Linked DNA regions of Drosophila melanogaster. The protein of the gene in region 2 purifies or fractionates together with the protein of the main gene of each other region. This does not show direct contact. Each region holds a gene or a part of one and is shown on either strand. Other genes may lie near its edges. The genes, in order: l(2)gl, par-6, pbl and Patj.

Region 1 (6,988 bases), on a different chromosome or scaffold from region 2:
CTTGTGGTGGGTTGGTTTCGATGAATAAATATGTATACTAATTGTGGCCGTATTTATTCTAAACTGAAAATAATAAATAAAAATTAATCACATTTTCAATAAGTAAAAAATTAAAAAGGAACTTGTATATTTTTTCACTCTTATGAATAAAACCGAGAAATTAAATTTAGGTAATACTATTAATACCTTTTATAGATACGGACGATACGTTTAATATTATTCTGGTATACTTTAATCAAAATTTGTTTAACAAAAAGGGTTTTACATTCTTGGTCATAGGAAATTCAGTGGACAGATAGATCTTGGCTCCCAAGATTTTCCAAACTAGTTGTGCTTATTTTCTTAAAACTTCAAAGATTTGCATGTAGGCAGTTTAATAAACATGTTTGTACATATGTATATGTACATTAGGAAAAATGAGATGCAAGATGAGCGATCTGTACTCTTTGCAATGTGTATGTATGTACATATGTACCTCCCTTTAATGAACTAGCAATTCCGTCACGCACACGAAATATTTTTTTATTTGTAAATCTTTTTTTAAGTTTGTTTAAACAATTTAGTTACTATTAAAGCTCTGAAATTCATAAATAAATAATAATAAATGTATTAATTATGACAAAAAACAACTTAAAACATATACGTTTATTTTTGTAAAAGCGTTTTAGGCAAACGCTAGCTGGTCGGTACTAATATTTTTTCGAAGACTGTATACCGTATACATACATTTATGTACGTAGGTATGTATCCGTGAGTAAGCTGAGGTGCAAAACCGTATCACCATTTGCTTTTCGGCTGATAACCAATACCAAGTAAGTCAACTGTTTCCCAAATGTATCTGCATAACAAGGTGATGACCTAATTTTGAGTACATACCGATCTTTACAGTTGACCAGCTTTGCGATTGCATACCGGTATCTGTTTATTCACATATACACACACAAATTGCGTGTTAGACAGACAGCAAAATGACGACTGTTAACTGTTGGCGTGGCTGACTCACCGACTACGCCTCTATGCTAAGAACATACATATTTGTGGACACTTTATTTAAGAAGTTTGAAATATAAATCAATTGCCTAATCAGTAATACTGTTGTTGAGCCCTTTACCTTTATGTATTTCCGTTTGTACGGTTAAGGCGGTGGCCGAGTAATTTTTTGAACTATTTTATTTGCTCACCAACACGCATAAGTTTGTATGTATTCTTATGTTGAGAAACGCCCGCACTGTTCTTCACATCGTTGCTTTAAATGAGAATAAATGAAATAAACGTGTCAACCAAGAACACACAGATAATAATACGACCGGTCAGAGCTTAACCGTGTATCTGTTTTATAAAACGTGAACAATATTATTAGCCCAAAACGATATGCGCGTCATTTTAACACACACAAAGTCGCGATCGGTGGGTCTAGTGTGCCCGTGTATCTCTATCGAAAAAATCATATATTTTTTAGAAGGTATATTTTCCATGACTGACTGGAATGGGTGGAGAACATCGCTTTGGGAGTGAAACTCCGCTATAAATTGTCATTTGTTTTTATAGCAACCTTTTTGATATGGTCGCCAACTTTTATATAATTATAATAATAATTTTTGTAATTAATCACCGCTGTCGCACGAAAAATTTAGGAAATGTGCCAACGAGCGGAATTTTTCGGAACGATCGATGTTTTACCATAACCTGCTATATAAATTGTGAACCACATTTTCAACACAAAACTAGATGTGCTTCATTTATAACGCAATGTCGTGATTTTGTGGGCAGTGTGACCATGTCCAATCTGCGTTCAAGTAAAACCATATTTAGTGACACAAACTTTCCATTACAAAATACCAAACAACTTTAAATTTGTTGTTGCATCAAACTTTTTCTTTCTATACATATAATATTGCGGGTGTATTTGGATTTCTAACGCAGTTACAGGCGAATAAACTCATTTTCTTTTGACTTTAAAATCTTATCAATTTTACGCCGTCTATGACATACTTATTTTGTACCTGAAATAAGGGTGTTTGTGAAACCAAGCCACTTACCCAACCCATTAGGTACATAAACGCAATCTTATCAGCTCCCCCCTCTTTCTGGAGCTGGATGGCGATTACCTCTGACCTACTTTTATTTGTTGAATAACATGTTTATACTAACATAGGATAAAAAAAATTTCATATACGTATATTTATTAAACTATTATGGTAATAGGGAAACATCTATGGTATATTTAATTCGAAAATATTTAAAAGGAATGGACAACATTACGAGCACAACGATATAATAGAATTTTTAAAGTAGCCAATACACAAAAATATGCTGTGGAAAAAGACACTCACAAAATCAACCAAGCTTCAGGTACCTCCTCATATTTGGCACCGCATAGAAGGAGTGCACAAAAGAAACGAGCAAAAAAGCACCGTAACCTTTTTTATGCGGTGCTTTGTGGCGCGAGTCTACAAAATACTGTGTGTGTATGCGGTTTACTTGTAGTTGCGGTGGAAAAAATTTACCTAAATGTTAATGCCCAAAAGTATGCACATAGGAGAAGACATAACAAAAGATTCAAAAGGAGGTATTTATTTATTCCTCATAAATTATAAGCTTTCTTCTAACTTCCATAAAAATGTATTTACCACCCAAGATCAAAATAAATGACCCCACAAAATATACCAATCGGCTACAAATACTTAAAAAAAAAAAAATAGAACGGAAAGAGAAAATTGTTTGTTTTACCTTACGATGTAGCGTTGTCTGTCAGCACTGGGCTGCTGCCCTTTTCCTCTGATAAACTTTAACATGATTGGTTATGCTCTTGTGGTGGTTTGGTTTTGATGAATAAATAAGTATATTAATTGTGGCCGAATTTATTCTAAACTGAAAATAATAATAAAAATTAATCAAATTTTCAATAAGTAAAAAATTAAAAAGGAACTTGTATATTTTTTCACTCTTATGAATAAAACCGAGAATTTAAATTTAGGTAATACTATTAATACCTTTTATAGATACGGACGATACGTTTAATATTATTCTGGTATACTTTAATCAAAATTTGTTTAACAAAAAGGGTTTTACATTCTTGAAGTCATAGGAAAATCAGTGGACAGATAGATCTTGGCTCCCAAGATTTTCCAAACTAGTTGTGCTTATTTTCTTAAAACTTCAAAGATTTGCATGTAGGCAGTTTAATAAACATGTTTGTACATATGTATATGTACATTAGGAAAAATGAAATGATGAGCGATCTGTACTCTTTGCAATGTGTATGTATGTACATATGTACCTCCCTTTAATGAACTAGCAATTCCGTCACGCACACGAAATATTTTTTTATTTGTAAATCTTTTTTAAAGTTTGTTTAAACAATTTAGTTACTATTAAAGCTCTAAAATTCATAAATAAATAATAATAAATGTATTAATTAGGACAAAAAACAACTTAAAACATATACGTTTATTTTTGTAAAAGCGTTTTAGGCAAACGCTAGCTGGTCGGTACTAATATTTTTTCTAAGACTGTATACCGTATACATACATTTATGTACGTAGGTATGTATCCGTGAGTAAGCTGAGGTGCAAAACCGTATCACCATTTGCTTTTCGGCTGATAACCAATACCAAGTAAGTCAACTGTTTCCCAAATGTATCTGCATAACAAGGTGATGACCTAATTTTGAGTACATACCGATCTTTACAGTTGACCAGCTTTGCGATTGCATACCGGTATCTGTTTATTCACATATACACACACAAATTGCGTGTTAGACAGACAGCAAAATGACGACTGTTAACTGTTGGCGTGGCTGACTCACCGACTACGCCTCTATGCTAAGAACATACATATTTGTGGACACTTTATTTAAGAAGTTTGAAATATAAATCAATTGCCTAATCAGTAATACTGTTGTTGAGCCCTTTACCTTTATGTATTTCCGTTTGTACGGTTAAGGCGGTGGCCGAGTAATTTTTTGAACTATTTTATTTGCTCACCATCACGCATAAGTTTGTATGTATTCTTATGTTGAGAAACGCCCGCACTGTTCTTCACATCGTTGCTTTAAATGAGAATAAATGAAATAAACGTGTCAACCAAGAACACACAGATAATAATACGACCGGTCAGAGCTTAACCGTGTATCTGTTTTATAAAACGTGAACAATATTATTAGCCCAAAACGATATGCGCGTCATTTTAACACACACAAAGTCGCGATCGGTGGGTCTAGTGTGCCCGTGTATCTCTATCGAAAAAATCATATATTTTTTAGAAGGTATATTTACCATGACTGACTGGAATGGGTGGAGAACATCGCTTTGGGAGTGAAACTCCGCTATAAATTGCCATTTGTTTTTATAGCAACCTTTTTGATATGGTCGCCAACTTTTATATAATTATAATAATTTTTGTATATATAATCATAATAATATCATATAATAATCACCGCTGTCGCACGAAAAATTTAGAAAATGTGCCAACGAGCGGAATTTTTCGGAACGATCGATGTTTTACCATAACCTGCTATATAAATTGTGAACCACTTTCTTAACACAAAACTAGATGTGCTTCATTTATAACGCAATGTTGTGATTTGTGGGCAGTGTGACCATGTCCAATCCGCTTTCAAGTAAAACCATATATTGCCACAAACTTTCCCATACAAAATACCAAACAACTGTAAAATTTGTTGTTGCATCAAACTTTTTATTTCAATACATATAATTTCATGTGCACTAAAGTGATTATTTTGTATTTGCATTTAAAAATTTCTGTGATTAATTGTCAATACGGAATGTATGTGAGGAAGGATTGCCGTCGTTATCCATCTGGTCCATAAATTCGTCTAAACGCTGCAGAGATTCAAGAGCTTCCCGAGATTCTTCGTCTTCAATATTATTTAATTTTGCAGAACTGTTTGGAAACTCAGTGTGGACGATGTCTAGCTGACCATGATCTGTTTCAGGTGCCCCGTAGCTTCCGTATATTTCCCGAAGCGTTGCGCGGGTAAGATTTAACTCGCGCATTCCAAAACTCATTTTTTGAGCAACCTCAGCAGCCTCGCGTCTATTGGCCTTTCGCTTATCATGGGAAAGTTGCTCGGCATTAGTGCGAAGCATTGACCCACTTGACGCCGACGACCAAGAGGAGGCGGCCGACTTGCGGGAGCGCTTGATTATTTGGCGGCACTTGTTGGTAATCCCACCGACGATCTCGGATACCAGGGCTGTGGCTCCTAGAAAGTAGCCCAGTGCCATGAGCAGGAACATTCCTTCTGTGTCCGCTGTAGTCAATTGGCGCTCTTCCTGAATTATTTCGCGTAAGGAATTCGAAGAACTTGCCTGGAGCAGGCGTCCTGAAGATGATCGCTGCATGACCCAGCTTACCTCGTTATTGATTTTTGCAATAAGACCACTTTGCTGGGCAAGTAATATCATCGAGTCGATTTTGATTTTATACACTGACTCTCGGGGAAACAGAAATCCTATTTGGAAAAGAGCAAAACACTCTTCACTCAAATGAAGCGCCGATCGGCGGGAAATATTTCTAAAAGAGGATATCGTTTACGGTGGGAAGATTAAAAATAAAGGATCGATCTTACTCATCTGAAAAATTTGACTGCACCAGGTATTCGAGCTGAGCCTTTGAGCCAAGAAAGGCATAGTTCCAAAAGAAGCTCTGGGTAACGTTGCCAATGCCCTCATCTACGGACCCGACAAACTCCATTTTCTTGTACAATCTAGACGTCGGTATATGGGTCGAGTTCTGGAACCAGGTCTCCCAGCCACCATTGTCTTTAAGTAAGAAGCCCAAATATTATATACAAATGTAGCGAGCCTAACCTTTTCTTACTCAGGGTTCCAACGCGAAAGAACAATCCCAGCAGATCCAACACAGAGTCAACGGTGTCCGGAAAAGCTGGCAACGTTACGAATGCTATGATGGAACCTGTGTAGCAAGATGTAATGATAATTGTAAAGAGCCAATATGCTCCAATTAGAAGGCGTGTGGAATTTTTCCGCGTGTTGCTCCACGAGTATTTTCCGGTGAAGGAGAAAGCGTTTGTGAACATGCCAAATACATACCAGAACATGTTTTCTACCTCACCCCAATTACCCATTAAATGGCTAAGTGTCAAACGGTCGGTAAAAACTATCGGAAATATTCCACCGAGGTAAACGCAAATCAGAGCGACCCAGACTGGCCATTGGAACGGTCCCATTATGGCTCTGTATTTCGGCAGCGCCTTCGATGCAAGTGTTATGAAAGCTGCACAATCGGGTGAGTGCCCCACCGACATGGCTGAGTCCATCAGCCGTTCCTGTGTTATATATATACCGGACATACCAATGTCTACTGTTCTTTCTATAATCTGTTCCTGGATGGTGTCTACTACCCCGCGCGTATTCGACCGTGTTGGGGTCTCAGTGATATCTATCGAAAAGTTTAGCCGCTTAGATATCATTGTCAGCAGACGAAATTCAACTCCGTCCCAACGCAACTGGCCCATTCCTGAGGAATCTAAAGTGCGAATTCGAAAAATAAACGGCGGCTGATTTGCGGCTGAAATTTGAAATCTGTGTCCCGCAAACCCAAATTGAAACTTCGATGGGAAAAGATTTATATGTGGACGTGACAAAGCTCCCTTTATCCAGCTGGTTAGCACTACCGGAGTGTTTGAGCCAAGTCCATCTGCATAGAGCTTGTGGGTGTAGAGTACGTATGGGCGCTCCTGTGTGAAGCGCATTATTTGTTACAAAAACGTATCCCTATTAAGCAATACTCACGCGCATCGGGTCAGCCATGAGCGATTCCCCAATAACTAGTAAATTTACAATGTTTGAGGATAGCTCCGAAGACAAAAAATCACGAAGTCTCCATTGGGTGGACCTTGAGACAAGAACTACACGACTTTCAGTTTGCGGGCCTAAAATCTTTCGCGTCATTAATGGGTCCGAAAGGAAAAGAATGTAGCTTTTGCAATTGCAATCTATAT
Region 2 (8,556 bases):
TCCTGCGTGTGGGTGCATGTGTTTGTGCGTGTGCGGATGCTGAATGTGCGTGTGTGCTAGGGTGATCCGATATGTGGGTCAGCAATTCATTAGGGTGGCCCACAGCTGAGCAGCTGCAGTCCATGCTCGCTAAAATACCCCATTGTAATCTAGGCTCACTTCGAATTGAATAGATCATCCTTAAATTCCAGCTTAAAATGTTATTTTGCATATATCCCATCTTTTAAACAAAAGAATCTTTATTAGATTACAAAAATTATAGCATTACCAAACAAAATATTCCAAGTAAGATCCTAAGTCATCGCACTTCAGCCGGGAAACTCAATACTAGTAAATAAAGCTATTATTAGATGTACATAGTTTTTGCTTCCAATGCATCGAGTTACCTACAGGTGACTGCGTAAAATGTGCATTTTTTATACACACTACGCAGGATTGCTGTAATAATTGCCCCCTATAAACAGCACCTTTTGACTTTACAGCAAACTGAAGCATCCAAACATCGTGGGATTCCGTGGCGTTATCACCAATGACGAGGGCATCAACACACTGGCACTTGAAATGTGCACCACTTCACTGGGCTCCATACTCGAGGAGCGACACGACGAGGATCTGGGCCCGTTGCCGGCCAAACATACCTATAAGATGATCATGGACGTGGCCCAGGCACTAGACTTTCTTCACAACGAAGCTCACCTCATGCACGGCGACCTTAAGTCCTTTAATGTCCTGGTCAAAGGCGAGTTTGAGATTTGTAAGCTGTGCGATTTTGGAGTCTCTCTTCCGCTGGACGAGCAGGGCGAGGTTAATTTCCTAAAGAATCCCGGACTGCGCTATGTGGGTGAGTTTACTGACCCCATATGATATAAATAATTTCACATTCAGTCAAATTAACCACTTATGTCTTAATATTTTAGGAACTAACCTCTGGTGCGCACCGGAGGTCATAGACGAAGTGGATGTTATTGACAGCAAGGCAGACATATTCAGCTTTGGCCTGGTTATCTACGAAACCCTTGCTTTGGTGCCTCCACATACCTTGGAGCTTGATGCAGCACTGGGAGAGGATATGGACAGTTCGCACGATTTACCCACCGACACGGACAAGCTGCAGTGCAAACAGTTGGACTTCTCCAGCGATGAAAACAAGAACGGACTACCTTCTGCAATGGAAGAACACACAGACAACGATATGAGTCAAGATTATGACGAGGAGGATGATGAGGAGGAGAAGGAAGAGGAGGAGGAAGACGATGAAGAAGATGATGACACGAAGGAGAACGATATCTCTTACTTTACACTGAATAACCTTCATTCCGCCTATGGTACACGACCACCATTGCCAGTGGCCTTTCAACTTAGCGACGATTACAACTGCGTCGTGGAGCTGTTTTATCTGTGCACAAATGCTCTCAGCGAGGATCGTCCAGCGGCCAAGACCATTTGGCAGTGCCTGGAGAACAATGGCGCAAATGTTGCGACAGAAAGCGATTAGACTGATAATCATTCTCAGCCTCCGAACTCCACAATCTTCCTCTTGAATATAATTTGATTAGATGACTCATTTTTGTTTTGAATGTACAATTAATTAGCTATAATTTTTACCCTGTAAGAACAAACCAATTACGGTTAAAGCCCCAAAACGCGAATGCACACTTAAGCAAATTGTACATATTCAGCAAGCAAAAGAGTGGTCGAATAAATCGAATCCCCAAATGGAACAAAAACTATATCGTTAACTGGTTTTTTAATTCGCAGTCTTCAAAAGGGTATATGTAAGATCTTTTTTGATTAAGGCCCGGCTAATGTATTTAAATTGATTTTTGTAAGCTAAAAATAAGTGAAAGCAATTCAGTTGAATTGAAAAGTATTGCTTACAGAGGGAAACAATTTTTTCGTTTATAAATGCAGGAACCGAATATCATTTTTAACTTTTTTGTATACTTTAACGCCTCGAATTGGTTGTGATATAAACAATAAACTTACATTGTTTTGCTATAGCCTCCCAGGAAAAAACCAATTACACACCAGATCGGTTACAAGTTCTCTTAGGTTTATTAAAAAATAATAATACATACATCAAAATATAAGGTTTTCTTTCGTGATTTGCTTTTCGGTCTTTTCAGTTGCTTAGCGGGAATACACATTAGCTTTTGTATATATATATATATACATGCGTTTGCTTGGAAATCGGGATATTCTGGCGACTTTTGTTCGATGTAAGTTCAGATTTCTCGATAATGCAAGGGTATATGTGAAATGGGTATATGAGGGGAGTGGTTGGGCGGCGATACGCATTTAGTTATAGTTTCAGATTCGCTGCTGTCTATCCTAGATCTTGCTATCTACCCAGGGTACACGTTCGTATGGGGTTAGTTATGCCCGTTGCGACCCATAAATATTAATATTGTTAACTTCAAGTCGAGCAGATCGCATTGCATCCCATCTGCCGTGAGTGGCGTTTTCTCAATTTTACTAAAGCGAATACACAGACTTCAATTCAATTGTGTGTACAGGGGTACGTACATAACATAGATTGTATTCGTTTATATATTCTCTTGTATATATATAAAAAGTATCGAATTGCTCTCTTGAAGGCGAAGGCGCTGTTGGTGTTTCGTTTGTATCTTAACGTTTTGTTAACTTTATCTCCTCGTTTTTCTATCCTTTCTCCATAACTCTAAGTGATGACAATGACAACAAAGAACTTGGACGAGTATTGGACACAATGACGAAAAAACAAAAGTTAAAAATTACAAATGGTTTTTAAAATAAACAGATATAATGAGTAATGCCGAAAAAATAAGAAATTGAGCTAAACAAAACATAGCAGATATACGCAAAATGATCGGCTCAAATTAAAAACAAGGCTTACAAATCAGGAAATATAATTTTGTTAGGCTTTTCCGACTTGTCACAGTACATAAAATGGAATGTTTTTTTTTTTTATAAATTATTCGTGCTCGTATATGTGATTTTGTTACAATTATTGCCGTTTCAAATGGTTAAGTTAAATAAATTGATCTGCCTTCAGCATTTGATGCCCTCTCTCTATTTCACTCTCTCCTCTAGCTGTCTCACTCTAGTCTAATACAACAAGCAAGAATAATAACAAGACGTAAATCTTACAAATTTAAATACACATATATATATATGCCAGGAAAAAAGATAAAAACAAGAGACTGCATTCAAAAACGTGCAAATGAATAGGTGTGTTTTCTTTGACTTTGAGTGTTTCGTGGAATGTATGGAGGAAAGTCGTATGATGATTACACATGTATATACAATCGTGTTTTATATATTGCTCACCTACAATCGGACTGGAAATTTTGCAGAACGTTAAATTTGAATGGCCAGGATTAACAAGAAATGAATGGGATATGGCCGATATGTTGTTTACTCAATCAATCAGGCTTTCAGGCTAATACCAATAGATTTTATAAGGTGACTTTTCAAATCATGGCTGGTTGAGCTATGACAGTCGCTTTAGTAAGTGAGCGATATACAAGCGATCAGTGTACATGTGAATAAGTTGGCCTAACTTGTATAACTTTAAATAATTGACTCGAGTTTAACGAACTTATTCGATCTTAAGGAAAGTTAAGTCTGATAAACTGAAAATCCTCTGCACTTCTCAGCGATGAATTCGCGTTTTCCGTTGCTTAAGTTCTGGCTGCGTCTGCTGGAGGTGCTGTATCGCCGGGTTAATCCTACAAATGCAGCACTCCATCCTTGACATCGCTGGCCATTATCGTGGACGCATTGGAGGCTGCCTGCTGGTGGTGCGACGAGGGTGATGAGGATAATGGCGGCTGATGGTTGTGATTGCCGGCTGACGTGGACGTTGGACTCTCGTCGAGGGTGACGCCCGTTAAGTCCACAATATCGTCCTGATCGTCGTGCTCGATCTCGTCGGAGGTGTTTGTATTATTAGTGTGATGTGACCCACTGGACAGCTGGCTGTTCCTTGAAAAGGATCCGCGATGTGTGGACGTCAGTGTGCGCTGATTGGCCGGCTTCACGGTGATTATCAGATTGGAGCTGTTGGCCACCATCATGTCGGTGACTTGATCCAGAGTCTTGCCAGCCACTTCGATGCCATTTACCTCGATCACCTCATCGTTGACGGCCAGCAGGCCAGTACTTTCGGCCAGACCGCCCGGAACCAAACGGGATATAAAAATGCCCGGCTGCTTCTCTAGCCCACTGGCCGTCACCCTGACAGAGGTGCCATCCCGTATGTAGAATCCCAGGGGCTTATCGCTGCCGTGCTTCAGTAGCCGCACTCTTCTATGCGTTTCCGGCACTATATCCACATCTATAATGGCCGAGACTTGACGGAAATCGTGCGGTATGGATATCGATGGCGCCTTTGTCTTCACTGGCGTATGGCCCATCAGTATGCTGCCGATGAGGTTTCTCGGTTTCATCGTTCCAAAGCCAGAGTACTCATTAAGATCATCTATAGAGTGAACGAAAAGATTGTGGTTGAGTGGCTCGTATTGTATCTTATGCATACCCATACTCACCCTTTCGCTGCACAATGACCCGTAAAAGTGGACGTGCTGTTTTCAGGGCCCGGCCGAAGTTATCGTCGTTGTTAATCGGCAACAGATCATTGTCCCGCGGATCGATGTAGAGTATGAGAAACTGGATGTTGGTCAGCTTGTGCAGCTGCTCAATGAGGGATGCGAATTTGTCGAAGCTCTGCTCCGCCTCATTTCGCTTGAAGCTCCACCTCCGAAACTCTGCATCGAACTAAAGGATACGTATTGATTAGTAAAGGGGCTGAATCTTTTGAAACCCGTATAGTTTGTTCATCAGCATCACCTGTTGATTCAATTGTATGCAGACATTTTACTAATTTAATGGGACCTTCACTGAATTGCAGTACATCTACTGCCTTATAGCTATTACTGGAGTTTATCTTGAAGAATTGTACCTTGACTAATTAATAACTGAAGTTTCCTTCTCTGTAAAATTACAGAAAATGAACGAAACAGGGTAGTTTTTGAGTAAGGCGCAACAGATTGGTTTTCAGGCAAAGAGCCCAAGCAATAAAGGGTGTTGCAACAATCCATATCAGAGCTCAGGAATTCCGACAAGTAAGATGCATTCGCAAGGGCAAATTGTCACTTTTGGGGTGCTTCTAAGATGGAAACCAGTTGCTCCTCACACCTCGCACTCCAAGCATTAATCCCTGCTCTGGCCGCTTTGACACAATCGAGCTCAACAGATAGGAGTTCCCAAATTGGTAGACACATTGCTCCTCAGACTAAAGACCCCCTTTCCACGCACAGAACTCCAATTTAAGCTATTAATCCCATTCCTGAGCGCATGAATCAGCAGCTCAGCGCCGCAGAAAGGGGCGTGGAATCCGGGGGCCACGAAAGTTAGGACTCACCTTCGATTTCACCTCGATTAGATTCGTGTCACTGGCCGCCGTTGCGGACGTTGTGTTTATCTTGTTCTTCGACATTTTCTCCGATCCGCCCGATCAAGAGTGCACTGACAGTTTTCCTCTCCGTTCCTCACACACAACACAAAACACGGCAGTTGAGTTCCGCAGATTCTGATCTGATCTTCAGGATCGAAATCGAACCGATACGCCCGATGCGAACCGAAACCGAACCAAAGTGCAGCGTACCGATGGCGGGGAGCGACGATAGTGGGGGGCCGCCAATAAATTAGAGTTAGAAATCTAAATTAAAACTAATTAAATAAAAAAAATGGATGGATGAACCTATCGGGCACTATCGTACTTCGATATTGGTAGGCACTATCGGTTATCGGATGGTAATAGATCCAGAGTGACCGTGGGGAATGCAAAACCAAAATATACCATTTCAGTTTTCTAAAATACCACAAATATGCTATAAGCAATAGATTTAAACAACAATGAAAGTATCTAAAAAGACTTAGAAATAATAATAATTTGTTTTCAATATAGCTAGCAAAGGTTTTGAATTTATCACAACAATAAGTTTTTTTTTTTAATAACGGTATGTTCTTTGTTTGTTTTTAAATATTTCCCAGAGTAACTTAGGCATGAACCGATGTTGTGCATATATCGATATATCGATAGAGTCTGAGCAGCCATGTTGCTGCGTTAGTGTAGAGACAGTTTGTTTGTGTGGGCTGGGTGGATCTTCAGATGCGCTACATTTGCAAAGTGGCTGCTGTTTGCACGAAAAAAGAGGCTTAACTGTTACAAGACAAGAATTAGCTATATTTAAATGCTCAGTTTTAATCAAAGACGTTTTTTAAATAAATAAATAAAAACCCGCTTTTAAATCGAAGGCAGGCAAGACGCCAGCACGAATATGCCCCAATTGTAGCGCAGCGCCAGCGACGAGGGTTACTGTAAAATGAAACTGTTTTTGTGTGTTGTTGTCGAGCGTGAAGTGTCCAATTAGACAACTGAATTTGTTTAGATGTGAACGCCAGAGTCGAGATAGGTCACACAGCAGCTACGACAAAGTTGAGCGAATCGATTTCAAAACAAAAGCAACCAACGAAACAAAATTTTAAGTCGCTAGAAAAACTAAAAATCAAGATTTTCGAGAGGAGGTGCTATACCAAATACATATATATATATAGTCTTTAAACGAGTGCGTGTGAAAACATAAACCCAAACAACAGACAAGGAGACTAGCGGGGCCAAAGGAAGCATAAGGAGTCTACACGCAAAGGAATAGTTAAAGCCAGCCCACAACGCACATATTCATATATTTTGGGACCACTTTTCCAAGGCAGCTGGGAAAAGGCGGTGAAATTGCGACTATCCGAGAGCCGAAGAGCTCAGCTGCAGGAATAAGCTGACGAAACTGAAACCTTGAGACAGCGATTCGCACGCACACCAGCGCAGGCCCGCATCAACACAGACACACACACGCACAGCAGCAGGAAATTCAGACATCATGAGTTCGGTAGGATGAGCATGTTCCTCACATAATTGTTAGCATTCTAATAATAATAATACGAAACGATTCTTAAGAAGTTGTATCCGTGATTGTAAAGAATCCTATCCAACAGATGCTTCTTAATCTTATGAATGGTTTAGTAGTGAGAGCTTAAAATCGCGTCCTTACAAATACTTTCCAGCATACTAAGAGTATGAATTTCATTAATAAATACCCTGTTTGTGGAGACATGTGATTTTGTTAGTTAAGTTTGTATGTAATAATCCTTGCCTACAAGTACTGTACTGTACTTGCCATCCATTTTTAAAGTTCGTATGTTCCAATAAGTACAATTCCAACTAGAAATAATGACTCAACCCTGTCATTAAAATCAATTTTTGTATATATAAACTTTTGCCATTCCATACTAATGCCATTCCCCCATTTGCAGCAATACTCGAATGTGGAGAACCTGTCGCCGCAGACGATAAGGCAGGTGATGAGGGAGCTGCAGGAGATGGAAACCACGCCACCGGAAGGCATCAAGGTGCTAATCAATGAGAGCGATGTGACGGATATTCAGGCATTGATCGATGGACCTGCTGGCACTCCGTACGCCGCTGGAATTTTCCGCGTCAAACTGACGCTGAACAAGGACTTCCCGCTGACGCCACCCAAGGCGTACTTCCTCACCAAGATCTTTCATCCGAATGTGGCCGCCAACGGGGAGATCTGTGTGAACACACTAAAGAAGGACTGGAAGCCGGATCTGGGCATCAAGCACATTCTGCTCACCATCAAATGCCTGCTTATTGTCCCGAATCCGGAATCGGCGCTGAACGAGGAGGCCGGCAAGATGCTGTTGGAACGATACGATGACTACTCACAGAGGGCGCGCATGATGACAGAGATCCATGCCCAGGTAAATTAGGGGTTTTCCCTTCTGTTATGATTGTGTATCATTGGAATACTAGCATAAGGTGTTGAATGATCCCAATATGATATTGTTTATCACGCTGCTTTACACACTTAGCTCATACATATGTATATCTTTTATTTTAGCCTGCCAAATGCGGTGTAGGCGCTGTTGGCGATGCCAAAGACGATGGTGGACCCTCGACGAAGAAGCATGCGGGCCTGGACAAGAAGCTGCAGGACAAGAAGAAGGAGAAGTTGCTCAAGGAGAAGAAACGCATGCTGAAGAGATTATGAGAGGCATAAGGCGGAGTTCCATGGACTAGCTAATCAACCAGGAGCAGTAAGTAGTAAGCAGTAGCAGAACACGTCGGATACGTATGAATGGATAGATGTTAAAGAATGGATGAGTGCGAGCGTAAACCCTACAAACAGGTGAAAGGCGACAGGATCAAAGCTAGCAAGGTCGAATCAAAGGAGGAGGCGCGCTATGAAATTTTACACTGATCTGATAAAAAACAAAACAGACAAAAAAACAAGTAAATTGAGCTACTGAAATTACGAAGTAACCGATGAAACCCGAACCCTGGAGGCCAATATCGGAACGGAACGGAAGTTAAAGCTGCAACAATTTCGGTAAAACGAGAGAGATAAAGAACCACTCCAAAGAACAGTGCATCCAGTTACCATATACGATTATTTTAACCAACATTTTTGGTGGCACGCCGCTTTCAACTGA
Region 3 (7,195 bases), on a different chromosome or scaffold from region 2:
TGCTGAAAGATACTACTTCAAATGAGTTTATGGGCATCGAGCAATCGTAACTTTCTTTCCACGCAATACATACGAAAGTGTAAACAAATCGAAATGTTTTGTAGCAAACTACACTGTTTACCCAATTCAAATACCCCGAGGAAGGGTATGCAATCGGAAGGAAGCGGGCAGAGGAGCCGTGTGGTATATCTGGCGCATGGCTGACGCTGTCAATCTTGAAACTGGTGGCCAACGAGTGGATCCACATTGGGGCTCTTGGAGCGAAGATAGGTAGTATACTCGTGCGTGTGTCTCGATTTCAAACTCAATTTGCTGCGGCTCAGCATGGCGATGTGATAATGGCTCTTGACTGTTCAGGCATCTCTTCATAGCCAGAAAGAAGAGAAAAGTGGGTTGTACAGTAAGGAGAAGGATGTGGGGGCGGACAGCTGGACACATGTGACAGATTTGGTCTAAATTAAGCAGCCTTATTGTTCCTCAGCTTCTGGCCGAGTTATTATTAGTACCAGTGACTAGTTATAGGTTCTAATCGTACTCACCATTCCTTTTGCTTGTGTATCGCCTCGAAGCTGGCACCCTCGAAGTCATCCAGCACGTAGAATGTCCGCCAGTCCGACGACTCTCCGAGAATGTCCAGACCCGTGTCCGACGTAACGATGGGCAGGCCAAAGGATTCGGCTGCCTGCAGCGTGTCCGCATCCTGGCCAACGCCTCCCACCAGGCAGATGCGCGTGGGCAGCGTTGTTATGGACATCTCTGGATGGGGCGAAATGAATGGGTATAAGTCATTAAAAAATCAGAAACATGCATTGTGTGCTCTCAAAAATCAGAAATGACCAATGGCATGGGGTTAAGTGCATGTCAGGCGTAAATCAAGCAAATAAATATGCCGTTCATAGGTGTCGATCAAAAAGGGGTTTTTCCATTCAATCTTACATTATATAAAATACTCTAGACTATCACAATATAAAAACCAATGCGAAAATTTAACACACATTATTCTTAGGCCAAAATACAGTATTTTTCCGCTTATTTAAAATATTTGTGATTTATGAATGTTTCCCAACAAAATCAATTTTAACAAACTGCTAAGAAAATAAATATTTTATTGGCAGCATAATTAATTACAGTTCGATATCCGTGTGACCCTTCAACAACCCATACACTACTTTCAACTCGCTTCTGTTTACAGGCGACTGGAGAAAAGATTTTGTTTGATTAATGGCTATTTTTTGGATTTGTTTGTTTATGCAATTGAATGTGCTGTGAATAGGGGGAGGGGGGGAGGGGGTAAAAGATCGAGGGAAAACTGTGCAAAATAAAACAAAGAAATGCGAGGAAACAGAGCAGAGCGGCTAACCAAAATAGAACCCCTTGAGGATGTATAGTAAACATGTACACTACAGATCGAAGATGAAGAATGGAGGATGGCGGATGGCGGATGGCGGATGGGGGCCTGGTCAGCAGAAGCCGCAGCATTAAGCTGCCAAATTGCGAGCTGTTGACAACAATTTTAATTGTGCCGATTTCTTAGACGCCGAAATGAAGCGACCTTCGTTATTGCCATAGTTTTTGACAGGCAGCGAAAGTAGAGTATTCGAAATGAGTGAGAATGGACTTGGGGGAATGGAGAATGGGGAATGTTTTCAAGTGCAAATCATTTACCCCCAATCGACATGGACACAACCACATGGAGCAAGTGGAGACCACTGACGGCGGTCGGCTTTGTTGCATTAATTTTATCCAGAATTGTGCAGCTGTAACCGATGCCAATTGCATCTATATACACTTGTATCTATATCTGGCGAGACATTCGCCACTTGTGCAATTGAACAAAGTCCAGGAAAATGCTGAGGAAGAACTACAGTTCGTGTCGTATTCTCATCTCTGACGTCTCGGAATTTTCAAATAGATATTCCAGATATGCATTCCCAAAACAAGCGATAAACAATGCAATTTACCTAATGGAAATCGTGGCGATTTATGGACTAACAAAATGTTTATAAGGTAGGAATATCACTGGAATGTGGAATCCAATAAAAACCAGTGATACGGAATGTGCTCCATGGGAATTCAGAATTTGTAGAAGATTGATATGGGTATTAAAACGCACAAATGTCCACATCATTAAATGTGAAAAAAATTGTTTGATTTATTCAATTCGAGAGGCTTTTAGCGATGAAAAGTCATATATGCTAATTCTGCGAATAATTTTTTATATGAACAATTTCTTTAATGATGCATTCTAAGCTATTAAACGAAACATATTGTTAAGTTTAATGCGCCTTATTATTTCCACGAATTGCTTGACTGGCATTTAAATCAATATCACCTTAACATGACATCGAATGCTTTCCTCGGAAAGTAATATATTTATTTATGAAATACATAGTTATTTTTACTGTTCCTGCACCTTTCCCAGGTGTTTGTCGATGGTCTGGCTGAATGGATGGATGATTCACGAAAGACTTTACCCTACTTAAGTTTCCCTCTGGCGAATATGTTGCTCTTGCTTTTGCGCATATTCAACCCTTGGAAACGAGTACCTGAAGGGGTTTATCTGGGAATCTTGAAATACCTGTAAAATCCTCGTACACCTGACACAAGGCGGCCTGTCGAAGCTTCGCCTGTTTGACCTCCTCGTCGGCGGCATATGTGAAATAGGAGGCGGATTGTCGCTGAACCGTGACCACTTTGTTGCTCTTTTTGCCCAAATGGTTGCCAAAGTTGAACTGCACCAGCGGTAAGTGTAACATTTTGTTCGCAGATCCTCAAGGATCGGGCTCTAAAACATAACTAAATGCAAGACGAGCTCAGGCTGAGGGAACACCTGAAATCGCATTTTGCATGGCCACAGGTGGTAGCTTCTTCGGTTCAAACAAGAAGAAGAAGGTATGTAAGTGAGGTCAGGAGAAAAGGTAAACGCAAAATGGTAAGCAAAATTTCCGAGTGTGAGAAAGTGCCGAGACTCACAGGTGGCGGCCACCATTTTTCGCCATTCGGGAATTTCCTTCCTTTTTGCCCGAACAAAATCCGCTGTTGTTATTTATTTTCTACTTTTCCTCGCTGGCTGCCTGCCAGGGAAACGATGAAAAACTAATTGAGTGGCATCTGAGAAATGAAAAGCCATCGGAAGAAGAGGGCTGTGTGTGTGGGTTTCTGGGCATTCAGCCACGCAGCGAAAAATGTCCTATGCGAAATCATAGTTAACCCAAAATGACAATTTTTGATTTTTACTTAAATTCTCGTGTCTATTGCTTTTGACCTAGACCTAAAAGCATTTTTAAGTGACAATGAAATCCAAAAATAAAATATTTTATGTAAAAAAATTGTGTTTTAAACGAAAGACGTTTTGTAATTTTGGAATAATATTTAGAAAATTACTTTAAATCTCTAGAAAAAAAAACCTCAGTTTACCTGCAAGTTTAAATTATACATAAAATCAACCAATTTCTCGCTGTGTAGCGGATTTTGTCAAATAGCAGAGCAGAGTCATCAAAGAAAAATCTTGTAATAAAATTACGTACGTATCCCGCGGAAGCCTTGACGTAGGCGAAGAGCAGATTCCGAAGGTCTGCGGGCCATGTAAAATGCCATTAGCATTGAGGGACGGAAAACACGGACTACAGGCTATATAGTCATAGTTGTATGGGCATGTGCGCCCTGTCAACATGTGTAAATGGAATACGAGGTAATCGGCCAGCGGGGTAGGTAAACCACCCGGAAAGCAAGGATCAAGGATTCTGTGCAACAAGAGGAGGAAGTAGAAGGAGCGAAGAGCCTGTCGAGCAGGATAAATTCTTCTTCTTACCTGGCGGCAAGTATTAGAGCGGAGCAGACAGAATAAGTACACAAAGATATCATGTAGAGTTGATTTCAAAAGTATCTACATACATATGCACATTTAAAGGCTAAATAACATCAAAGGAGAATTGATTTTATAACCTAACCAAATTATAAACTTTTAATTGATATATGCTTTATTTGCGCCTCAAATTCGGACACAAAATACATTAAATGATAATTTTATTTGTTTATGCCGCGCGCTGGAAAAATTCCTGCCGTACAACATATTTACACGTATTTTTTAAGGCAATAACCTTTGAAATTGTGTGGTATTTGCAGTTACACGTTCTCGTTGCGGAAATCGTAGGCTTATGGAAAGTATAACAATTTTAATTGCCTAGAAACAATTTTGTTTTTAGTTAAATAAAAATGTTAAAAATATAATAAAAACTTTATAGCAGAGATTTCTCTTTCCCATCAATACCTAAATCTATCTTTTGTTAATTGTTTACTTTTTTAAGATTCGATAGTTTCTTGTTTACTTTCTTTTATAGCTACAACTCCATGGCTAAAAACGGCTGAATTCGCATCAATGATAACAGGAACTGATCGCTTAAATTGTTGTTGCTTGTCCTTTCTTTTTACTCTCACAACAGTTAGGGCGCCTCAGTTGTTGTTGTTGTTCTTGCTGTCGGTACAGTGTCGCCGAAGAGAGGGAGAGTGAGGGGAAACGATGATGAAGAGAGGGAGGCATTTCGCATTTATGCGATAAATATTTTCTACACCGAAATAAATTCAGAAAAAAAGATTAAAATATCTGCGACACGATGCCGTTGCTTTTTTAGTCACACAAATACACACAAAGATGTACTTATAGTCGTTGTTATTTCATTTTATTTTTTTGCATTTGCTGGCAGCGACATTTTTTATGAGGATCTTTTGGCCCCGAATGTGGTTTTACCCCGTACCCAACCCCTTTGGGCGACATTGAAAAATGATAAATTCGCCGGCCATTTGGAGCTGCCACGCCCCGCGCCCTCTTTCAGTACTCACCGCACTTCGATTGCTCTTCAATGGTCTCCATTTCCATGGATCTTCTGCAGTTACTTTTTTAAGGCGAACAACTCGTGGAACATACACAAAAACACACACCAACAGAACTCGAAACACAATAGAACGAACGCACAAGGAGACAAATAATTCGTTTGTACTCGATTCGTTTACTTTCATTAACTGGACGCTGTTTTCATGCATTTAGCGCGCATCATTTCCATGTTTGTTTGTTTTTCTACTTTTTGTTACAATTTATTTATTATTTAATTAAAAAGCGGCGGCTCACGAAAACACACACACACAGACGCGCATAGGCAGCGTCGCCCGGTTCTTCGTCCTCTTGTTAGCGATACCGCGTACCTGCTTTAGCAATTTAACCAACAAAATGATCAACAATGTAAGCGAATTGCGCTCAACGGCTGCGCGTCGGAATCACAAATCAAAACTCAACGGACAAACGCGTCTGTTTCGAATTTTTTTCGCTGTAGTGTGCCGCGCAGTGTAACCGTCGCGGGGGCGCCAAGAAATACGCGCAAATGTGATGAACGAAATACCAGAATCAATCGGCGCTAAATAATGGTCACACTTGCAAGGGGTTGAAGGTATTCCCTGTAATGCTATATAACTAAATTAAACGACTATGGCTATAAAATAGTTGTAAGCTGCACTATATTAACAATCAATTAGAACTGTTTTCTTCGTTTAAGTTGTTTTTGGCCTGTCGATAAATTAAATTTGGTAATATCCTACTATTGTTGCAGTTGTAGCCTCCAATCATATTTTTCATGCAAGCTATATAAGCTACAGTTAATTTTATGTATGCTTGCTCATATATTTAATAAATGAATGCCTAAAACTACTTGCTTTTGTGCTACTTTGTTTAAATATACGCGCTTGATAACAACGAGTTGACCGATAAATACTGCTGGCGAAGTATCGATACCAGTGACAAGCATTGCCACTACGTCCGCACTTGTTGCTGTATCTTCACGCTCACGCACACTCGCACACAACCATTACGTCAATATGGCAAACAATCTGTCAAACGCGCAATTACAACAAACACAGTTCGTTCGCATTGACAGTTGGTCAATAGGTCCATCCAGGATTCGCTGAAGTGGTGAAGATAGCCAAGGACTGCAGCTGGCGTGGATTGGCAGAGGGTAATCCAGAGATCCGCGCAAAATGCTGCCACAAACGCCGCCGCACGGATTGAAGGTGATGTCGGGAGCGGAGGAGAACCGACACTATCTGCGCGCCTTCATCCAGACATACAGGGATCTGCCCGTGCTGTGGGACACATCGCTGCGGGACTACACCAATCGGGAGAAGCGGGCGGAGGCCTATTTGCGCCTGGTGCCCATATACCATTATCTCAAGCGGGACGCCACCGTGGAGGATGTGAAAAAGAAGATCAACACACTGCGCACGAACTACCGCAAGGAGCTGAAGGTGGTGGAGAGTGCCCTGCGATCGGGCAGCCTCCACAGTCCACGCTGCTGGACCTTTCAGGAGCTGGACTTTCTGCGCAACTCGGAGAAGTTTCTAGCCGTCAATCCCGCCTTTAAGAACGAGCCCAACTTCGCCTTCGGTGAGAGCAGCAATTGCCCGAGTGCGTTTCTGGAGAGCCAGGGAGCAGCCCTCCATTATCCAGCACCACGCGCTGGTGGTCAGACGCCCAACATTTCCGAGATGTTTCACAAATCATTTGGAGCTCCGCCACCGCCACCGCCAGCAACCAACCATGTGGATTATGGGAGCAGCAAGCGAGCCAGGCAAACGCCGCCATGTACGGGAGCAGGAGCCGGATCTACTGGCGGTCCTGGGGCAACAGGCACCGCCCACAACACCGACGAACTACTCAACATAGCCTGCGAGTATTTGGCTGGCACATATCCGGAGGAGGAGTCCATCGCCCGCACCTGGACGCACAAACTGAAGCGACTGCCGCGCGAGCAGCGTCTTCTGGCCGAACGTTTCATCAACGAGATTCTCTTCGAGGCCGAGTCCAACAATCTGCATCGCGGATCTGTGCAAATCAACAACAGCTTCGAACCCTACGTTCGCTACGAAGAAACGCCAAATGGTCACGAGGAGCAGGACAAATCACAGAGCCCCAGTGTGCACACCTCCAGCGAATCCAAGCCCAATGTGTCGGGAGCGAGCGGAAGCGGGGGAGGAGGTGGGCCACCGGGCAGCACCACCACCAGTGCGGGCATCAGGGAGTTCTAACTTTAGTTTAGTTACTAAGTGTTAAGTTTTTATTGGCCGAGGGATAAATGGCAAATGCGATCAATTTGGCTCAACAATGAAAATCAACAATAAATAAACCTGTAAATAATATTGAGATGACTCT
Region 4 (7,938 bases), on a different chromosome or scaffold from region 2:
TAAGGCGACTGTTGGGAGGTATTTGGTGCATTCATCGACGGCAAAGGATGCGTGTAGCTGGGGAAGATCTGCTGACCGGGCAGCAACTGCTGCTGGTGCTGTTGCTGCTGGGCTTGGTGCTGTTCCTGGCGCGCTAGGAATCTGGAGGCCCGCTGCAGACGTTCCACCTCCGATTCGGACTCCGACTTGGGTATAATATCCATGGGGTCAATGGCCTGGGTCATCGATTCCGGCGTCCGTTCCGAGTAAGCCTGCCCCAGGCGCAGTTTGTGGGAACTATCCGTGCGTTCCGGCACCGAGTTGTTGCCCTGCTGGTCCAGTGGCGAGTCCACCGCCTCAGAACTCATACGTAGGGCCGGAGAGGTGGGCTGGGAGTCAGGCACATATTCATGGGCGTGGTGCGAGGCGCTTTCGTTTGACCGCTGCGGCAGAGGCACGTGGTGCTGGTGCTGATGAGGGTGGTGCTTCAGGACCGCCATCGAGCATGAGGGCTCGTAGGAGAGCATCTCCTTGGCGTGGCCATCGTCCAGAGCTGCAAGAGGGAGCATTTTACAATTTGGGTTTTATTACAGATGGCAATCGCAGAGACTTACAAGCGAAGCGCACGCATCGTCTACATAAACACAACTGATCTACAAACAAGACTTGACTGTGAAACTCCGGAACTCCGCGAAATCGCGACTTTTGGTGGCCCGCAGTCACTCGAACGCTTAAACGCTAATTGAAACGCGACTTAGCCGTAACTTAAACGCTATTTACCTTGACTGATCTCTATAACGAAGTTGGTGAGGTCGTGCCTCTGGGCCAGATAGTGCAGCAGCAGTTCGTCCGGGATGTTGAAGCCGATCTTCTTGTTCCGGAACTCGAAGTTGTAGATCCCGAAGGCGGCGCGCACTGTGGAGCGGGATTTGTTAGACATATTTCATTTTTGGCGACCAAATCGCTTGGGGGCTCCGTGATTTGAGCCACCTCCCCCTCTCCGACCAGACCAGTGCTTACCCACGTTCTTTAGGTCCCATATGTTTAGGTCGCGGTTCTCCTGCGGCACCCCGATCATCAGCAGCTTCTTCGTGTCGCGAAACTGAAACGGAATTATGATTCCCGATCGCAGCACCATTTTCAAAGCGCCCACACACGCGATTTATAAAAATTTTCACAAATTTCTCAAGTCCGCTTTGTGCTTGTCCTCCGTAATTGTTTTGGTCTCCGTTTATTGTCGTTCGTAAACAGCGAACTAGTTTCGAGCTCCCCGAAGTCTGGCCACACATCTGCAGTTCCGCGAATCGGAGCGGAATACGCGGCTTATAAGATTTCCTCGAAAAATATTATTTTCTCCCTTAATTTAACGCTTTATCTAAATTACGAAATCTATGCATGTGCAAATTCAATTTTTTTTTAATATATAATCTTAAATGCCAAGCAAGAACTAGTTCCAAAGACGGCTGAACAAAAATAAAAACTCTCGCCTGGTCACACAGTAAAGCTGATTTCATAGGGGGAAAAGCAAAGCAATAGGATTTCGAGTAATCCCGTCCATATGTATTGGAGTTATCCACCTACTGAGCATGCATAGGTTCTTCCAGGTTGTTTCCAGCACTTGATCCGATACAAGAGTTAGCTGCCCGCCTTCACAATGCTCGAGAACTGTCAGCGTCACCACATGCTCCTTGGACTAGGAGCCCTAACGATGGTCACCATACTCGTCCTGTTCGTGGAATCTCGTTACGCGGCAGATGGTCCTCGTCGCCGAGAGCCGCAATTCGTGATCGAGGACAACTCGACCTGCTGGCGGAATGAGAAGTACACGATGGTGCAGGAGTGCCACCCGTGCTCCGAATTCGATATAGTCAGCCGGAGCTTGGGCGTCTGCATTCACACGCACTACAAGGAGGTGCTGCGCTGCCAGAGCGGCGAGATCGTAACCAGGAGCTGCGACCGGGTGGCGCTCATCGAGCAAATGAACTTCTTGAAATTTGAGGTCTCGTGCTTTGTAATCGGATTACTTAGCTACCTGGTCAGTTATGCCCGCGATCGAGTCCTGTCCAGGCGCAACTACATGAGAATCGAGCGACAGCTAAACCGGGTCCAATAGCCCTCCGCCAAATCATCGATTCCCTTCCCCAAGTGATACTCATTGACCGTACGGAAGGTACATTATTTAATTTAGTTTAAGTACATACACTCTGGAAATACCATGTTAAAATTCATTTGCTAATACTAGGGGGTTTAATATATTGCATACTTGTGGAATGCTTGTTTTCAGGGGACAAACACAATTCGGCGTTAATAATATGCATAACATTTTGCTTCGGTAATAACAATCGCTCCTGTACTTCTGGCATCGTTTCTGACATCGTTTCAGATTCTACTGCCTGTTGTTCATATTCGTAGAAAATATCGATTAACTAATCCATTAGTTAGCAACCGCGTTTGATTTGATTTAAAACAGGCTTAAAGATTCAAATGCCTGGAATGTGTGAAATTCTTCGTTATCGTAACACCCTAGTTCCGCCAGTCGGGAATCAGGTCGGGCTCAGCTCCCATGGAGGCACTAGGCGGCATGGCGGGCGGAGCAACTGTGGGCAAGGCTGGAGGCGATGGCTGGGCGTCCAAGGTCTCTTCGCTGGTGGTGCTCGCATTGCTGCAAGCCTTCAGTGAGTTGTCCGTCATGGGCAGTGGTTTGGCCACACCAATGCGCACCACTCCTTTCGAAGCACCCTTCAAAGCCTGCACTGCCTGATCCAGCGAGGCGTTCTCCAGGTTAATGGAGTTCACAAACAAAAGTCGATCTCCGGGTATAAGGCGTCCGTCCAATTGAGCCACCCCTCCAGGGACCAGAGAACGGATTACAATCAGCGTATCGTTGGGATCCAACGGATCTTGATAATCCAGAATAGAGAAGCCCAGACCGCGATCGCCCTTGACCAGCTCGATAATTTGCGGTTGGGACGACCACATAGCCAATCCGGTTAGTGGCTCCAGGGAGCGCGACTTCAGCTTACTAAACGAAGCAGCGGCGGCAGCCACTGAATCTCCATCGGCCACGGAGCCCGCGGTGGCCAGACTACCATCTGATTTGGCCTTCACCAGACGATCGGTAGCAGGCAGCAGGTTCTCAAAGTTGTTGCTTAGCTTTTTCAGGGTGTCATCAGAGAATGGGAGAAGCGAGCTGTTCCTGTTGCGACCGCAAACCATGCGCACATCCAACGGCAGTTCCTTAAGTATAGCCACCACCTCCAGGTGGTTCATACCCAGCAACCGCTCGCCGTTTACCTCCAGCAATTCATCGCCAGAGCGGAGTACTCCATTCACGCCAACGGGTCCATCAGGTAAGATTGAACGAATATAGTGATGGGGTCGTACCTCGCGCCCTCCTTCTACGTCCACGGTTCCCTCCAAGGAAATCCCCAAGCCTCCGACCGCGAACTTCTTGATCTGGGCCACAATCACCTCCACATCGGAGCCCACAATCTTCTGCCATTTGCGAATAATTTCGGTTTCGGCGTCGTCGGACAGTTCCGGATCGGTGTAGTACTTGTGACGGGTGATCACCCCGCTGTTCTTGGCCTAAAACATGTTAATGCGCTATACGTTTTGCTGCTGTGTTACCCGTTAGCTAATACTCACCTCCGTTTTATCCGCCAAGGGTACAACTTCCGTGGGTATGATCTTCGTGGAGCCGTCTAGGGAGTCCCTTACTGCTACTAGTTGCTTACCCGCTCCAAAGGAGCTTAATGTGGTGGTGGTCATTGTGGTGACCGACGGCGGAGTGGTCATGAATGCTTCTGGCGCTGGTAAGGCTTCCTCTTCCAACTCGCGAGTGATGCTGCGTGATGGTGTAGTTGTGGCGGAGGACGTTGTGGCCACGGGCGTGGGCATGGGAGCCCTTGAAGGCGTTCCAGGTGCACTGGATGGAAGCTTGTCATTCGCAGCGATAGCCTGCTGCAGCTGCTCGAATTTGGGGCCCCTCAGGTAGCGTTCCAAGCGCAGGTTCACCACCTGACCAGACTTCTTAAGCAGCTCTACGGCCTGGTGGTTGGAGTAGCCTTGTAGCGACTGGCCGTCAACTTCAATGATGCGATCGTTGACCCGGATGCGACCACTCAGGTCCGCTGCTGAACCGGGCGACACGCTCTTTACGAAAATGCCAGACAGCTCTTCTTTCTCACACACATAGCCGGCAATTGTGATGCCCAGGCCGTTGGCATCCTTCTTCAGCTCCACCTGAAGCTTCTCCGTTTCAGGAAGGGCAAGCAATTCCTCTAGGTCGATGTTTGGATCAATAAGCATTGATGTCTCGCCGCGATAAACGAAACGATCGTCTTCCGTGGTGGTCTGCGGAGTGGAGGCCGTGGAGCTCTCGCCAAAGATTTCCGGATAGCCGGTAGATATGAGGTACCGCTCCAGCTCGGCAGGATCGACGAGGACGCGCGTGGGCACCACAGCAGTGCCCGGTTCCAGGGCGTACTGGGGCGTAGGCACGCTCTGCTCAACGGGACGGGCAACCACTAGGCGGACGTGGGTTCCAGACTGTCTCAGCACGGCAGCCACCTGTTCGGATACCATTTCGTGCAGGTTGACGTCTCCAATCTGGAGGATGTGGTCGCCCGAGCGCAAGCGTCCGTCCTTATCGGCCACGCCACCCGGCAGGATGGTTTTTACAATCACTCCCGAGTTGCGAGCTCCAATAATACCGAATCCGAGACCCGTGCCGTCGTTGACCAGCTCTATGGCCTGGATCTGAGCGTAGTCCGTGGCGTAGAGATCCGCCACTCCGGCTCCTTTGGAGTTCTGGCTCTGCGGGCGCGGCTCCTCGCCGACGCCTCCGGACTTATCTGGACTGCCCGGAGCCGAATGGGAGTGCGAGGAAGAGCGCTGTTCGTCAAAGTCGTACATCACCTCGCCACCATTCAGACTGAGTACAAGGTTGCCGGCCACATCGATGTCGAAGTCGTTGGGCAACATGGACGGATGCTGAGCCAGCTGGGCGTTCAGCTCGGACAACGAGTCCTGCACGTGGACGATGGTGCGGAAAACGGGATCCTGCAGAATGCCCAGAATGGTGCTAAGGCTCTCGGCCGTCTGCATTTGCAGCTTGGGGTCGTCGGACTCATCGATGCCCTTCTTCACTGCCTCGATCTGCTGAAGGGCGCTGGAAATATCCGCGCTGAGGTGCATCTTGCGTCAGTGGGCGTGGTCAGCGAGCGGTGCGCGGTGCGGTCAGTGGAGCGTGGTCCCCGTCTCTATCCCACTTCCGCTGGCGTTTCTATGGACTTCTGGGTGGGGGCGTTGTGGCGTTGGCACACTTTGTCCTAAACTGCAAAACGGGTAATTCGATTTGGGCTCTAAGTGGGACAGCTTCGGATCAGTTACTGTGCCGTTTGGATGCAGCGAGTTGTTTACCCTCTCCTATGCACTCTTTTCGGTGGCCACTTGCTCTGCTGCTGCTGCTGTAATTGATTTTTAATTATCTCTGAAATGGAATGCCAAATGCATTTTCTTTTCACAAACAGCTGATGGACAGGGTTGCCGAGCGGCTGCGTTGTGCATCGATAAGCAATCGACATAATCGGAACAGTTGCCACCTTTTCAAAATCAATTCAAATTCGACCGTTACATCTGCTAATTTAATTAAATCTAAGATTTTTGAATATAGTCTGCATGTGCTCGTATGTAATATGGCTATACGAAATAACCCAACAACATCTATCCTTTTAAACGCAAATTTTGAATTTAATTTCTCTGTACGCACAAATATCTGTGTTCCAAATACGGAAAAACAATAAGGTGTCTGCCATCAAACCATGTTACGTTCCTCCTCCTCCTCCAATTCTATTTCGAGCTTGCGGAATTCGCGGAAGAATTCGCGAGTGATATGCTTCATATGTGGAGTCAAGTACTTGGGAAAGATATCTGCAGAAGAAACAGAGAAACTATCAGAAACTATTGAAACCTCCAACAGAAAAGGAAAACCCACAATCAAATTCTATAATGAGATCCCCGAACTGCTCCACCTTCTTGTTGGCCTCCTTGATGGCCGTAACTGCATCCAAATTGCGGCACTTGGGGAGTCCCTCGAGGGGAACCACTTTGGTGTATCCCGGCTGCACTACGTCCGTAATGACCACCTTCAACTGGCGCCGGTCCAGCGTGCAAATGAAGAACGTGAAGCCGGTGAAGGCCTGGCACAGGCCAATAGACTGCCTGTAGACCAGGTCGTGTTGGTTTCTCCTCTCAAAGTCCGGATGCGGCTTGTCGGCGGCAATGAAAATAATATCACCCGGAATGGTGGCCGGATAGCGATCGCCCTCCTCCTTGAAGCAGAAGCGAGTTCCGGCCGTAGTTCCCGGGGCAATGTTCAGCTTTAAGGTGTGCTTGCGCTTCTCCAGCCGCGACTCCTTGGCGTCCACGATCTCCTGGCGCCACACGTTCATCAGCTTGACGCAGCCAGTGCGTACTTCCTCCAGCGACAGCTCGATGATCCTCTCCGTACTGGCGTCCTTGGAACGCACGCCAATGCCATGCTGGCGCGTAGCGTACAAGCTCGGTGGATTGGAGATCGCATCGATCACGTTGGCATACGGCGAGTAGCTACCGAAGACCCGCTCGTAGACCTTCATGTGGTCGCCGTCGTACTGATAGGGCGGAAAGTATCCGTTCGGCAGCATGACGCCCTCGAACAAACCCGCCTCGCCAAAGCGATCGTATATGGCCCGGTACAGATCGTTGCCCAGCACATCGAAGGCCATGTTGACGTAGGCCCACTGCCTGGGCTCGCCCATGGGTGAGAGGTGCGTGAGACGACCCTCCTGGGCCAGCGGCACAAAGTCCTGCTCGTCCTTCTTGTCGCGATGTGGGCAAAGCCGAATGGCCAGGCGGCGGTAGGCCAGAGTAATCTGCTCCTTGGTGGCGCCTCTGGGCTGATCCAGCACCGCGTAGTAGTCCAGCTCCGGCCGGTTCATTGTTTCTATTCGGAGTCGAAGCGTATAACAACTGGCAGAAGTGTTCACAGAATGTTTGACGTGTGACTGAGAATTTATTCAAATTATATACAATAACTCAACTGACGCAGGATCTGGCTATGGATGAAATATGCTTGTGGACAAATACATTAAGATTAGAGCTATGGTGTAGATGGAAACGTGGCGGCGATCAGTCAACGTCCTCGGTGCTGACGCCAGTGTAGATGGGCTCCTCCTTGGCTGCACTCTCTGATTTGGCATCGTCGGTCTTCTCCTCGCCACCGGCGACGTCATCCGAGTCATCTTCCTCCTTCTTGTCACCCTCCAAGTCAGCGGCATTGGGCACCCAGAGACCAGAGTCCACACAACGCTTCATGTGCAGCTTGGCGACGTCCACGGGCATGGCCGCAATGGTCTTCTGCAGCAGCTCTACGTCGCGGGACTCGAAACAGGCCTTTAGTTCCTGCGGAGCAAATACATGAAAAGTTAGTCAAGTAATTCCCATACAGTGAATCACTAGAACGTACATCGGGCAGGGATTCAAAGACATCGGCTGGGTCCAGACCACCAGGTCCGAGGCGCTCCTTGCGCTCCTCCTCTTCGGCCTGGGCTATCGCCTCCTGGATCTTCTCCTGCGCACGCTTCTGGATACGTCCTTTGAAACCTTCGATCTCGCTGTCGAACTGCGCGCGGTACTCGGGATGACAGTGCTGGATCTTTGAGAAGAAGGAGCTGACACAGGCGCGAGGATCCACGTCCAGCTGTTTGGCCAACTCTAGAATGTACTGCATGCAAATGCACTGATGCGCCACGTGGGCCATCAGCTCGTGCTTCTCCTCCATTTCCAGGTTGATGGACCAAATGACTAGGTAGTTGGCCGTCTCCTCGCCCACCAAGTGAAGATGCTCCTGCAGAAACCGCTTCGAATCGTCGTACTTGCGCAGCATGCCATACTGCTGGCAGAGCTTCTCGTTCT

Evidence for each region.
Region 1: the proteins of par-6 (region 2) and l(2)gl purify together in Drosophila melanogaster (affinity purification with western blotting; 5 studies listed by BioGRID, with this or other methods). This does not show direct contact.
Region 3: the proteins of par-6 (region 2) and pbl purify together in Drosophila melanogaster (affinity purification with western blotting; one study listed by BioGRID). This does not show direct contact.
Region 4: the proteins of par-6 (region 2) and Patj purify together in Drosophila melanogaster (affinity purification with western blotting; 2 studies listed by BioGRID). This does not show direct contact.

The regions. Positions count from the first base shown.
Region 1 is NT_033779.5:17,150-24,137, forward strand, and holds the start of l(2)gl (lethal (2) giant larvae), read right to left. Parts: upstream 4,228-6,988; 5' UTR 3,917-4,227; intron 3,825-3,916; 5' UTR 3,682-3,824; intron 2,872-3,681; exon of another isoform or gene 2,867-2,871; 5' UTR 2,796-2,866; coding exon of another isoform or gene 2,736-2,795; 5' UTR 2,731-2,735; intron 1,422-2,730; exon of another isoform or gene 1,112-1,421; intron 1,020-1,111; exon of another isoform or gene 877-1,019; intron 64-876; 5' UTR 1-63. Other genes in the region: Ir21a (ionotropic receptor 21a), read right to left, coding at 4,770-5,538, 5,594-5,786, 5,845-6,724, 6,780-6,988. UniProt on the Drosophila melanogaster protein: Essential for the development of polarized epithelia, for cell polarity associated with asymmetric cell division of neuroblasts during development, and for oocyte polarity formation.
Region 2 is NC_004354.4:17,700,574-17,709,129, reverse strand, and holds par-6 (par-6), read right to left. Parts: upstream 5,779-8,556; 5' UTR 5,480-5,778; coding exon 5,405-5,479; intron 4,759-5,404; coding exon 4,530-4,758; intron 4,463-4,529; coding exon 3,711-4,462; 3' UTR 2,034-3,710; downstream 1-2,033. Other genes in the region: CG8173 (uncharacterized protein), read left to right, coding at 483-841, 918-1,495; CG8188 (uncharacterized protein), read left to right, coding at 6,921-6,929, 7,354-7,824, 7,965-8,114.
Region 3 is NT_037436.4:7,906,583-7,913,777, forward strand, and holds the start of pbl (pebble), read right to left. Parts: upstream 5,373-7,195; 5' UTR 4,877-5,372; coding exon 4,840-4,876; intron 2,757-4,839; coding exon of another isoform or gene 2,579-2,756; intron 757-2,578; coding exon 540-756; intron 1-539. Other genes in the region: CG8281 (uncharacterized protein), read left to right, coding at 6,025-7,071.
Region 4 is NT_037436.4:1,796,389-1,804,326, reverse strand, and holds Patj (patj), read right to left. Parts: upstream 5,525-7,938; 5' UTR 5,404-5,524; exon of another isoform or gene 5,374-5,403; intron 5,346-5,373; exon of another isoform or gene 5,318-5,345; 5' UTR 5,179-5,317; coding exon 3,628-5,178; intron 3,568-3,627; coding exon 2,503-3,567; 3' UTR 2,143-2,502; downstream 1-2,142. Other genes in the region: CG42676 (uncharacterized protein), read right to left, coding at 760-894, 1,000-1,117; JTBR, read left to right, coding at 1,634-2,092; CG12020 (uncharacterized protein), read right to left, coding at 5,798-5,913, 5,978-6,962; Cdc37 (cell division cycle 37), read right to left, coding at 7,153-7,425, 7,490-7,938. UniProt on the Drosophila melanogaster protein: Involved in cell polarity establishment. Probably participates in the assembly, positioning and maintenance of adherens junctions via its interaction with the SAC complex.